Caenorhabditis elegans: one gene and its partner. The protein of the gene in region 2 interacts with the protein of the main gene of each other region in a pairwise test. Each region holds a gene or a part of one and is shown on either strand. Other genes may lie near its edges.

Evidence for each region.
Region 1: the proteins of pos-1 (region 2) and mex-3 interact in a two-hybrid assay, tested with the Caenorhabditis elegans proteins (2 studies listed by BioGRID).

What each region holds. Positions count from the first base shown.
Region 1 is NC_003279.8:125,530-133,338, forward strand, and holds the start of mex-3 (K Homology domain-containing protein), read left to right. Parts: upstream 1-1,755; 5' UTR 1,756-1,767; coding exon 1,768-1,807; intron 1,808-1,855; coding exon 1,856-1,907; intron 1,908-3,167; coding exon 3,168-3,367; intron 3,368-3,415; coding exon 3,416-3,595; intron 3,596-3,637; coding exon of another isoform or gene 3,638-3,646; coding exon 3,647-3,804; intron 3,805-6,573; coding exon 6,574-7,024; intron 7,025-7,082; coding exon 7,083-7,164; intron 7,165-7,809.
Region 2 is NC_003283.11:8,412,376-8,415,811, forward strand, and holds pos-1 (RNA-binding protein pos-1), read left to right. Parts: upstream 1-1,709; 5' UTR 1,710-1,718; coding exon 1,719-2,117; intron 2,118-2,169; coding exon 2,170-2,565; 3' UTR 2,566-2,879; downstream 2,880-3,436. Other genes in the region: vha-18 (putative V-type proton ATPase subunit H 1), read right to left, coding at 24-510, 555-769, 823-958, 1,003-1,100. UniProt on the Caenorhabditis elegans protein: RNA-binding protein that coordinates cell fate specification and differentiation during early embryogenesis.

The DNA of each region.
Region 1 (7,809 bases), on a different chromosome or scaffold from region 2:
TGATGTTCCGTTCTTGTCGATGCACCATGATAATTTTGGGTTACATTTTGAGCCTTTTCGAAAAATTAATGGTGGAAAATTTCAAGCTGAATTTTAATATTTATTTTTTTAACCGTATTGTGGGACATGCAAATGTCTTTCATTTTGTGTCCCTTCACTCTAACGTCTTCAGAATTTTCGAACTTCTCGATGCACCATAATGCTGTTTGGCGATAACTTTAGAGTAAGAATGGTAGCGATTTTTGCGATGCACCATGACGTTTTTATCGATTTTCAGAAAAAAAATCACTCCGAGACCCAAATAGTTTCATTCTCGACGCACTATAACGTTTTCGAAGTAAATTTCAAAATTGCTTCTCGGAAAAGTTTTTTGAGACCTACATGCACCTTTAATCTTCTTTGGAAACTTTGGAATTTCCGCCGAATACTCTCATTTCAGTTGTTCTCGATGCACCATGATGGTATTTTTTTCAAATTACTTTTTTTTGATTTTTCCATGAGAGGACCAATATCTGTCTTTATAACGGCGCATTCTGTAACCAAATTTTGAAATTCCACGACATTCTGCTCTCATCGATTCAACATGATAATTTTAAAATGAAATTTAGCGATTTTTCGGGAAAAAAACAGTTTCGAGATTTTCTAGTTATTGGACACTCTGCACCTTGCTTATTTGGAAATTACATTTTAAACCGACAACCCTTCAAAAACTGCTTTTCGTCGATGCACTATGAGTGCATAATTTTGTGTAAATCGTGGTGGGCCTCTAAAAAAACCGAAAAAAAAAACGTATAAAACGCAAACAAATTGTTTTTGTTGTAATGTTGACACCAACAGATTCGGCGTGGAATATACGGAAGATCGGATTTCCAAAAAAACAACCGCTCTCCTGTTTTCGACGTTCCGCCGCTTTTTATGGGAGAAGTAGTATGTACCTTTAAGGGTACTGTAGCCCCTTGAATATTGGCCTAAAAGTGAAACTAGTGTTGCCAAAAAAAAACGAGATGACCAGTTTCAATATGTCATTTACATCTACACATTTCTAAAATCTCATTTTAAATTCCATTGTTTTCTCGTTTCTTCTGTCCCAAAGTACCGTATCCTCATCCTTCTACCACCTTAATTTGCATTTCTTCTTCCTTATTCACTCTTCTTCCCCTGGACGAAAAATGTTGCACGACAACAACAAAAGAGACCCGCCCCCCACCATCGGTTTCTCTGAACCTCTAACTGTCCCCGCCCCCTTTTGGGAGCCCACTGTCTTTTCTTTTTTTCTTTGGTCGCTGATTATGACGGATCGTTTTTGTCGTTTTTGTATTACAGGAATACAAATTTCCCAAAACGCGTATTGCACAACATATTTGACGTGCAAAATATCTAGTAGCGAAAACTATAGTAACTCTTTAAATGACTTTTGTAGCACTGATGCCGATTTAATTAAATTATTTATTAACAGATAAAATATTAAAAGAAAACACGACAATTCAAAAAAATTCATTTCGTAAATCGAGCCCGTAAATCGACACAAGCGCTACAGTAGTCATTTAAAGAATTACTGTTTTTTCGCTACGAGATATTTTGTGCGTCAAATATGTTGCGCAATACGCATTCTTATAATTTTGTGTACCCGTAGTATATTTTTGTCTCTCTGATTTCCATTGCAATTTTTTAATTCCATATTTTTTTGGTGACAAATTTCTCCGCTTATCAATTTTTTTTTCAACCACATAATTATTAACCCCAAAACATCGCAGATTTTCAGGTAAAATGCCAGTCGTGAGCGTTAGACCTTTTTCTATGAGAAATGGTGAGCAATTTTTTTGAAGTTTTTTTTTGAAATTTTTAATTTTTCCAGAAGGCTTCTCAAACGGGCATAACACGTGGAACGACGCCGAATTTTGGAAACCGTGAGTTTTCGGCAAATAAGCTAACAGTCTAAGAAACACGAAAAAAAATCCAATTTTCTTTTCAAAATTCGTGATTTTCGGATGATTTTTGAACTTTTTGATTAATGTTCCCACTGAAAATCCTCCAAATCTCTAAAAATCCGCTTCTAAAAAAGCCTCAAATGGCCTTGCGAGAATAGACGGAATGTTCAAGGATGACTGGTATAAAATCGGCAAACGTGTTGCCATTCAAACAGAATATCTCGAAATTTCGCCTTCCTTTTTTTTAAGTGGGTCGGATATTTAACATACAGAAGAGAATAGGGAGAGAAAAGAGGGAAAAGAGGGGAAAAGTCTTCTTGGAAACAACCTCGAACCGCAATTAAGTTTTTGCCTCACCCTTCAATTTTCGTGAGAAAGTTAAAAATCCAAATTTTTTTCTCCTTTTTTAAAAAAAGATTTCCTCCTCAAAAATTCAAAGGATCGAATTTTTTGTTACACGCCTGCCTCCTTTTTATTACCCTTGTTCTTGATCGCAACCTCTTTTCTAGATTACTTGAAAAAATGCGCTATTTTTTTTCCTTTTTCAACAGAGTCAATTTCAAAGGTGCTGTGGAAAAAGTTTCGGTTTTTTTTTGCAAAAATAATCGAAATTTGTTCGTTTATACTGCTTAAAAAATGACCAAAATTTCAAGTAATTCATTCGAAAAATCGATTTTTTTGAAATATACAAAAATTTTCAATTTTTCATATCTGAAAACACAATTTTTTCGATTTTTCATTTTTCTTGGAAAAAACACAAAAAAAAACTGTATTTAATTTCCCACTTAATACTACGATATCCAAGCCCCGCCTCCGCGTATTGTACGTGAACACGGCGGCCCAAAATTACACACTATCTCACACACGTTAAATGAGTGATACCGTACTCTCTCTGTTTTTTCTTTCATTTTTTCGGCGCCGAAAATTTTCAATTTTTGGTGGTTCTTTTGGCGGGATTTTTCGGATTTTTGTCGCGTTCACACACACACACCAGTTGGTGTTGCCTGTCGTCACCCACCCGCCCCACTCTTTGTCCGTGTACTGCTTTGCCATTTGTGCGCGCGTACCGCTGCCCGTCTGTCTTTCTCATCATATGCGCCTCGTTTTGTCGCTTTTTCTCCATTTGCCCTTCCTACATGGGTACCTGCGGTTTTCATCGAAAATATCCTTAAAAATTCCGAAAAACCTCTATTTTTCGATTTTTGAATCGATTTTCGCCCAAACATAACCATTTTTCAGAATGAAGGAAGAACAAATCGCCTATAAATTGCCAGGGGCTTGGTATTACGAGGAGGACACTGCCTCGTGCTCTCCAGTCAGCGATCCGGAGGATATTGCGCAGTTTCTCAACTACAGAACGTCGATAGGCGTGCAAAATGTCACAGAGTCCGTGGAAGTTCCGACGTCGGAGCATGTCGCCGAGATTGTTGGTCGTCAAGGTAAAAATTGCCTTTTTAGTCAAATCTACAGTTTCCACAAATTTTCAGGCTGCAAAATTAAGGCACTGCGCGCCAAGACCAACACCTACATCAAGACACCGGTTCGCGGAGAAGATCCAATTTTCGTGGTCACCGGACGCCTGGAGGACGTGAACGAGGCGAAACGAGAGATCGACTGCGCCGCCGAGCACTTCACACAGATCCGTGCGTCGAGAAGACATACACAAGGTAGGTGACCGTAGGCAGCCGGTTCCTGAGCGCCTTGTTCAGTTGTTCCAGGAGCCCATGCACCTGGACAGATCACGAGCTATGTCAGAGTTCCGTTAAGAGTTGTCGGACTCGTCGTCGGACCGAAAGGAGCGACTATCAAGCGAATTCAACAGGACACCCACACGTACATCATTACGCCGAGCCGAGAAAGGGAGCCCGTTTTTGAGGTAATTTTGTTGGAGAGCATAGAGTTTTGGAGCAAAATTCTCAGCAATTTCATGCTTTTTAACAAAAACAGAGAAGTTTCTAGTTTCGGCTTAGAAAATACTGAAAATCGGCTTTTCCATGGCATATATCGTGCTGAAAATCTACTTTTGACTGAAAAATTCAAGTTTATGACTAAGAAAAGTTAGATAATTAGACCATGCTATTATTTCATAATATTGGTCCAATTTTTGTTGCTTTGCTGAAAATTAACAAAATTTAAAAATCGGCGGGGTTTCTGAAATATTTCTGTATAAAAACCGATTTCAACTCCAATTTTCCTCGATTTTTACATATAAGTAATCTAGAAAAATTGTAAAATGGGGAGAATTCATAAGAAAATCGGCTGTTTTGTAGCAAAGTTTGTAAATATATCATTCTGAAAGTCTCAGCGATAACCGTGATTCTAGAAAACCTCATCAGGATTTGATTTCTGCGACACACTTCTCTCGAGTTTTACATAGAAGTTGTTCATTACAAATTTCTATTTTTAAGGTCCCCATTACCATTGTCAATCTTTCATTCCGATTATTTGTTTTTCCTCGTCACTGCAAGAAGGGGAGCCTAATGCCTAGACAGAGACAGAAAACACATGTGTGTTTGTAAGTGTCTGGTGTGATATACCCAATTCTTTTCGGCCGTCTCTTGTTTTCTTCCTGACACCGAGTTTCGAGCGATTTTCGAGGTCGTACAGTTGTGAATTGGCTGCCACTGCTGTGGCAAACAAACAAAAACAATCAAACTTGTGCGGAATTGATATTCTAAAGAGAATAAAGAGCAACCATGGGCGCCGAAACGAGCAGCGGAAGGGCTTGTGACCTCTTGGTGTGAATTTTAAACGGTTTCCTTCCATCCGAAATGCTAAAAATTCCTCGGGAGCCGTTTAGGGTCTTCACTGAGAGATGATGATTAGAATCTTTTAATTTGGTAGAATTCCCCCCGCGGGACCGATTAATGTTGCATGTCGTCTTCTTCTTCTTGGCAGCAAAATATCATTGTTGATGAGATATCTCAGTTTGATGCTCAATGACGCCTTGAGAAACATCCAGCACACAGTAGATTAGTCGAATTACCGATGGATGGGGCCGCCCGGGTTTTTGGAGCCAAGAGTCACGCGATGGGGAGTCCACATACACACGCACCAACTCTTTCATTCCATCTAACAGGGTAGTAGGGTGAAGAAAAGGGGGGGGATCGCGATGACAAAGAGACTCAATTAATTAAATGACCGGGGCGGGCGCCAAATTGCACATATGCTTGGTTTTATTGCACCGTTGGCTCAGGGAGAGCAACATTTTGTGGCAGCACCAGGGGTACTTCAAAATGACGAACAAAGGTCGTTGTTGTTTCTATAGGAAGGCTTCCGAACTTTTGAACAGTAATCAGATCATATTAGGGTTATGTAATTGACGGTTTTGACCGTATGTGTCTATAGATGCGTGTGTGTGTGTGTGTGTGGCGACATAAATTACCGTATCCGCATGGCCTTTTTCCTCCTTCCTCACAATGGTAATTATCATCCCCCACTACTCTGGGTCGCCGGACGAACTGTGAATGTGTTGACAGTGCGGGCCCACTAGTACATGACATCTTGCCCCGGTGCGGTGCGCTCATCGTTATTCCTCCCAATTTAGTTGTCCGTTTGACACAAATGCCTCCGGTACCCTGGACGAGACAAGGAGGTGATGGATTTGCCAGGCGGGGAAGGAATTACATGATGTTTGGGAGAATATGAGGGAAAGGTACAGAAGCTTCACCTCGGATATTATATGCGTTCTAAAAAGACCAATTGTCGTTTTTGTTCGTGGCTCAAATGAATAATTGGTATGGAAATATAGAAAAATGTCCGACTAGTTTGGTAATAGAATTGTTTCGTTTTGAACATTTCAAAAATACCTCAAATAGTGCACTTGAGATCTTTGTTGAATTTTCAAAGGTTTTATTTTCAGATAAATTGAGCATTTTCCATACTTATAAAATCAATTTTTGGTTCAAAAACTTCTAATTTTCTCACCGAAAAAGTTCTCACAAGACAGTGACAGAGGTCGCGTGTCGTTTTGATATCCATCTCGATAATCAGAGATTGTGATCTATGCCTCAATGACACAGTTCCGCGAAGGAGTCCGAGAAAAACGTACAAAATTGGGGAAAAATATTGGAAATAACATTTATTGAAAAATTAAAAAAAAAACATAAACTATTTAAATTCACAAAAATTCGGAAGCATATTTCCTATAATGAAAACAAAAAATTCTGAAAATGTGTACTGCACAACATATTTGACGCGCATAATCTCTTGTAGCAAAAACTACAGTAATTCATAAAATTGACTACTGTAGCGCTTGTTTTGAGTTACGTGCTCTACGAAATGAATTTAAATAATTTATCGATGGAAAAATAATTTTAAGCAGAAAATGAGAAAATAATATGAAGAAACAAAAAGAAATTCGAGTTACGTGCTCTAAGAAATGAATTTAAAAAATTTATCGATGGAAAAATATTTTTAAGAAGAAAATGAGAAAATAATATGAAGAAACGAAAAGAAATTCATTCGAAAATCGAGCGCGTAAATCCAGAGCTACAGTAATCAGTGAAAGAATTACTGTAGTTTTCGCTACTAGATATTTAGTGCGTCAAATATGTTGCGCAATACACATTTCTGGAATTTTGTGTTTCCGTAATAAAATAAGTTTTTTGCGAGAACTACAAAAATATAACTATTTCTATTCCAGGTGACCGGCCTCCCACATAACGTCGAGGCTGCCCGCAAGGAGATCGAGACGCACATCTTCCAGCGAACCGGAAATCTTCCAGAAACCGACAATGACTTTGCCGGACAGTTGGCCGGTGTCTCGTTGATGGTGCAGAAGCAGCAACAGGCTCAACAACAAATGCAGGAGGCTCAGCAACAATCGATGTTCTATCGAAGAGCATTCGGCAACAGTAATCCGTTCAATCAGAAGGAGATGTCGTCGTCGCCATTCGGAATGGAGAGCTCGTTGGGATTGGACGCGTTGCTCCGCAGTTTCCCATCGATGCGTAGTTCGTTGACTCCGGAATCTCTTTCCGGTACTGGACTGTCTTCTCGTCCATCGTTGGGAGGAGGACAATCGGCGAAACAAGATCTGCCAACCTACGACTACTGGGGAACCAACAACTCGCTTAATGATATTATGGAGAACGGTAAGCTTTTTTTGCGAATTTTAATAAGAATTTTAAATGACAAATAAGGATTTTTCAGAAATTCTCAGCCGCAAGTACGATGCCCTGTCCGCATGGTCGTCGATGGGATTGGAGAAACGCGAGGAATCCCCAACCAATGGGTATATATTTTTGAAGGAATTTTATAAATTTTTGAAATAAAACTAAAAATTGCAATTTTCCTTCAAAGTTCTAAATTTTTGAAAGAAAATTTGATTTTCCGCTAAAAAATTTAAAAAAAAAACAAGTTTTCGTGTTTTCCACTCGGAACCTGACGGCTTCTTATCAATTTTTTAAATAAAAAATAACGTTTCTAAAACTCAGAATGTTTAAAAAATTTCACATTAAAAAATTATTTTTCCGAAATCTTGAACCTATCCGTTTTTGAAAATAAAAAAGAGTAAAATCGTAGTTTTCTCTATAAAAATTATAATTTTCATTTGAAATTCAAAAATTTTTAAATAAAATTGGATTTTGTCCGTCAGAAATCTATAAAAAGAAAATTTTTTTTGAACAATAAAAGAAAAATTGTAATTTTCTTTTGAACTTCAAAAAAATATGTTTTTTTTCACATGCAAAAAATTGATTTTTTCAAAACCTCGTTTTTGAGAGAAAAAGGTGAAATTCCAATTTTAAGAGGTAAAGTTAAATTTATTTATTTTATGAGAAAAACTTGAAATTTAAAGGAAAATTACTGAAATTTACAATTTATCATACATATTTTTTAATTTCGACATATCTCGAAATATCAAGTCGTAAATTTTTTC
Region 2 (3,436 bases):
GAAGTCTTTCACTAATAAATTACCACAAGGTCCACATCAGTAAATTTTCGATTCTCCAGATGATCCAGTTTAGTCGGAATACGATTTTGAATCATTTGAAGAGCAGCTTGCTTTTTCATGTAAACATCCTGATTTGAAGTGATAAGGTTCCGCAGTGTGGATACTACAATTCTGATTACTTTTTCCTTTTGACAATTGCCCAGAATTCCAGATATCGTTTGAATAAGATTCCCAGACAAAGCCACTTCTGCAGCATGTCCGTTGAAAGTGAGAAGCCACATGCAGAAAATTATTTGGTACTGAATTTGAAACCCGCATTTTCGAGTCGAATATAGAGCATGAGTCAGTGAGTCGTAGCCATTGATGTTGACAAATGAAACTCGATATGGATCGAATCTGAATAAAGTTTGCATGCATCTAACTGCTGTAACAATGTAGTCGTTGTTTGTTCCTCTATTCATCGCCTCTTTCAAAGATCCCATGCAATAGTCAAGTTCGTCTCCAGATAATCTGAAATAGTTAGAATTAATTAATGTATCTCAAGCGTATCCAACTTTATATTTCCAAAAACAGCCATTTTTGTGAGAATCGAGAATGTAATATGTACAATGTATTGATCTTGACGATGGAGAAGACCCATGAAAAAAGAAAAGGGAGATCTTTTCAGAAGAACTGCAACGTCTTCAAAAATAATTGTTCTTGTGACGTCTTCGCGGAGCATATCATCGATCAGCGTTAGAGTGTACCTGACGTAATCATCTTTCGAAATCTGAAAAAAAGAAACTAATAATTTCGAAATAGGCTTATGAAATATGATTTCACCTGAGACATCAGATGAACAAAAGCGTACACAGCCTTTTCCTTGAAAACCGAGAGTACTGTGCTCCGTTCTGCCTCGTTTTCTGCTTGTTGATAAGTCACGATAAAGTCGTAATCACTTTGAGCAATCATTCTTGTTCTGAAAAATTACTACGTAATATGGAAGATAGATAGTAAATATACCTCGTGAAAAGTCCCCAATTGGTTTTCATTGCTCGAACTTTGTCGGCTTCTTTTTGAAAATGAGTGCGAATGAGATCCTGATTCTCCCCAAATACCATTTTGAAACTGAATCAAAGAAAATTAACTTTTAAAATGAGGACAAACACAGAACGTGGAAAATGTAGAAATGGAAAATCACGGTGGTACAGCAGCTAGATGAGTGCAAATGCGCTCTACCGAACAAACCCAAATTTGACCGGTTAGGAAATTTTCAATCAAAAAAATTTTCAATAGAAAAGATAGAGAATTTTCTTGCGGCCATTTTTCATATGCATCGCAAATTCAAATTTGGGGTTAGTTTTCGAGATAGCAGCCAATATAGGTTTTCAGACTGAGTATCATAAACCAAGCCATCTAGTTTCTGTGCTACCATGAAATCCAACACGGCGATGCGAACACGCTCTATTGCGAAAATTCAAGTTTTTTTTTTCAAAATTTCTCAAAATTTGATCATGATTTCGAGCGGTATTTTTTAATTTTTACTTTTTAGTTTCCGCGAATTTTTGATAAGTAAATTTTTTCGCTCACTCTTTGTTCATTTCATTCAGATGTTCCATTTCAAGGATTTTTTTCCTTTTTATTTTCTTTTCTGCCGGTGCTCCCAAGTTTTCTTGATTTATATTCTCTTCTTTTTCCATCATCATCACAGTTTGTAAATTTATTTTTCTAGATTCAAAATGGCTGACAACGATTTCCTGAGCGGTGAAGCAATCATGGTGTTCAAAAAGGAAATCCTTGACTCCCACAGCGATTTTACTCGATCGCTTTCACATCAGTCAGCATCCCCCGAAGCATATGATCAAGAGAATGTATTTTCTCAAGACTTCCAACCGTTCATGAAACAAGATAAGGAGACGCAGAATTCGGCTTCACAGCCAACTTCTGAACAATCGTTGGCCAATCGTGATCCTTGCACAGTTCCCGATGACCTTCGTGAAGAAATGATGCGTCAAAGGAGAAAGGAAGATGCATTCAAGACGGCTCTGTGTGATGCTTACAAACGCAGTCAGGCATGCTCATACGGTGATCAGTGCAGATTTGCTCACGGCGTCCATGAGCTTCGGCTTCCAATGAACGTAAGTAATCGTTGATCCTACAAATTTCTTATTTTATGACTGGAATTTTCAGCCTCGTGGGAGAAATCATCCCAAGTACAAGACGGTTCTTTGCGACAAGTTCTCGATGACTGGAAACTGCAAATACGGAACCAGATGCCAGTTCATCCACAAAATTGTCGATGGGAATGCCGCGAAGCTAGCAAGTGGAGCTCACGCTAATACTTCATCCAAATCACCAGCAAGGAATGCTGCCGCACACAATCATTCACTCTTCGTGCCTCAGGGGTCGACAGATCGAAGCATGGATCTCAATCAGAGTCTACCAATCCGTCAATCAGATCTCGTTCGTGCGTTTGCTCGTGCCACCCGTTTGGACGTATCTGGATACAATTCTACGGCTCAATTGGCACAATATTTCGAAAGCCAATTCCAGCGGATTCAGCAGCTCTCCTCCCATCATCACTAGTTTCTCTCGTCGAAATTTCTGATCTTGACTAACATGTACTTTCTATTTTTTACTTATGGATTATATAATCAAGTCCAATAACCTGGTGCAGTCCCAAGGACATCATCAATAATTTTCCCCATTTTTGTCGTTCTTTTTCTTCTCGAGTCCGACCCCAAAATGTTGTATTCACAGGCTTTCAAAACTCACCCCCACATTCCCACATTTGTATCTAGTCTGTATATTATTGTTATCTTGAATTTTACCAATGTTTCGTTCTCAATTGCATAGCCCTCGTTATGTGGACTCATAAAATGAAATTTCTCGTAATCAGCATACAATTGTTTCAAGTTTTACGGTGCCTCTGCGGTATTAAAAAGTTCATAGAACCAGCTTACGGTACCATCATTTCTCAAGATTCTCGAGCTTTTTTAAAGACGCACGGATTTATTCAGATGGGTCTCGGCGCAAGAAAAGTTTATGGTAGTTTTTATTTTTGAGGCTCTCATTTCTCAATGAATATACCCTTCATTTTTCTGTGAAAATTTTCTTAAAATGAAATAAACTAATTGAGAAATGCAAGAAAAAAAACGAAGAGGCAGCCTCAAGTATTCAAAAAAGACTTCCATAAACTTTTGCGCACCGAGACCCATTTGAATAAATTCGTGTGCCTTTAAGAAGGCGTGCAAAAATCTTGTGAAAAAACAATAAAAATTAATGTTTCCAATATTTAAAGCGCTCATTTTTATATTTGAAAACAACTGAATATTTCGTTTAAGGTTTATTACTTTATACTTTCCATCTCACAAAAATTGAGATGAGTACTGTAACTGACTGACGTGTTTGTGTTGTGTGTGAGGAAAATCAACTAGTTTCACAATACCAGTAGACT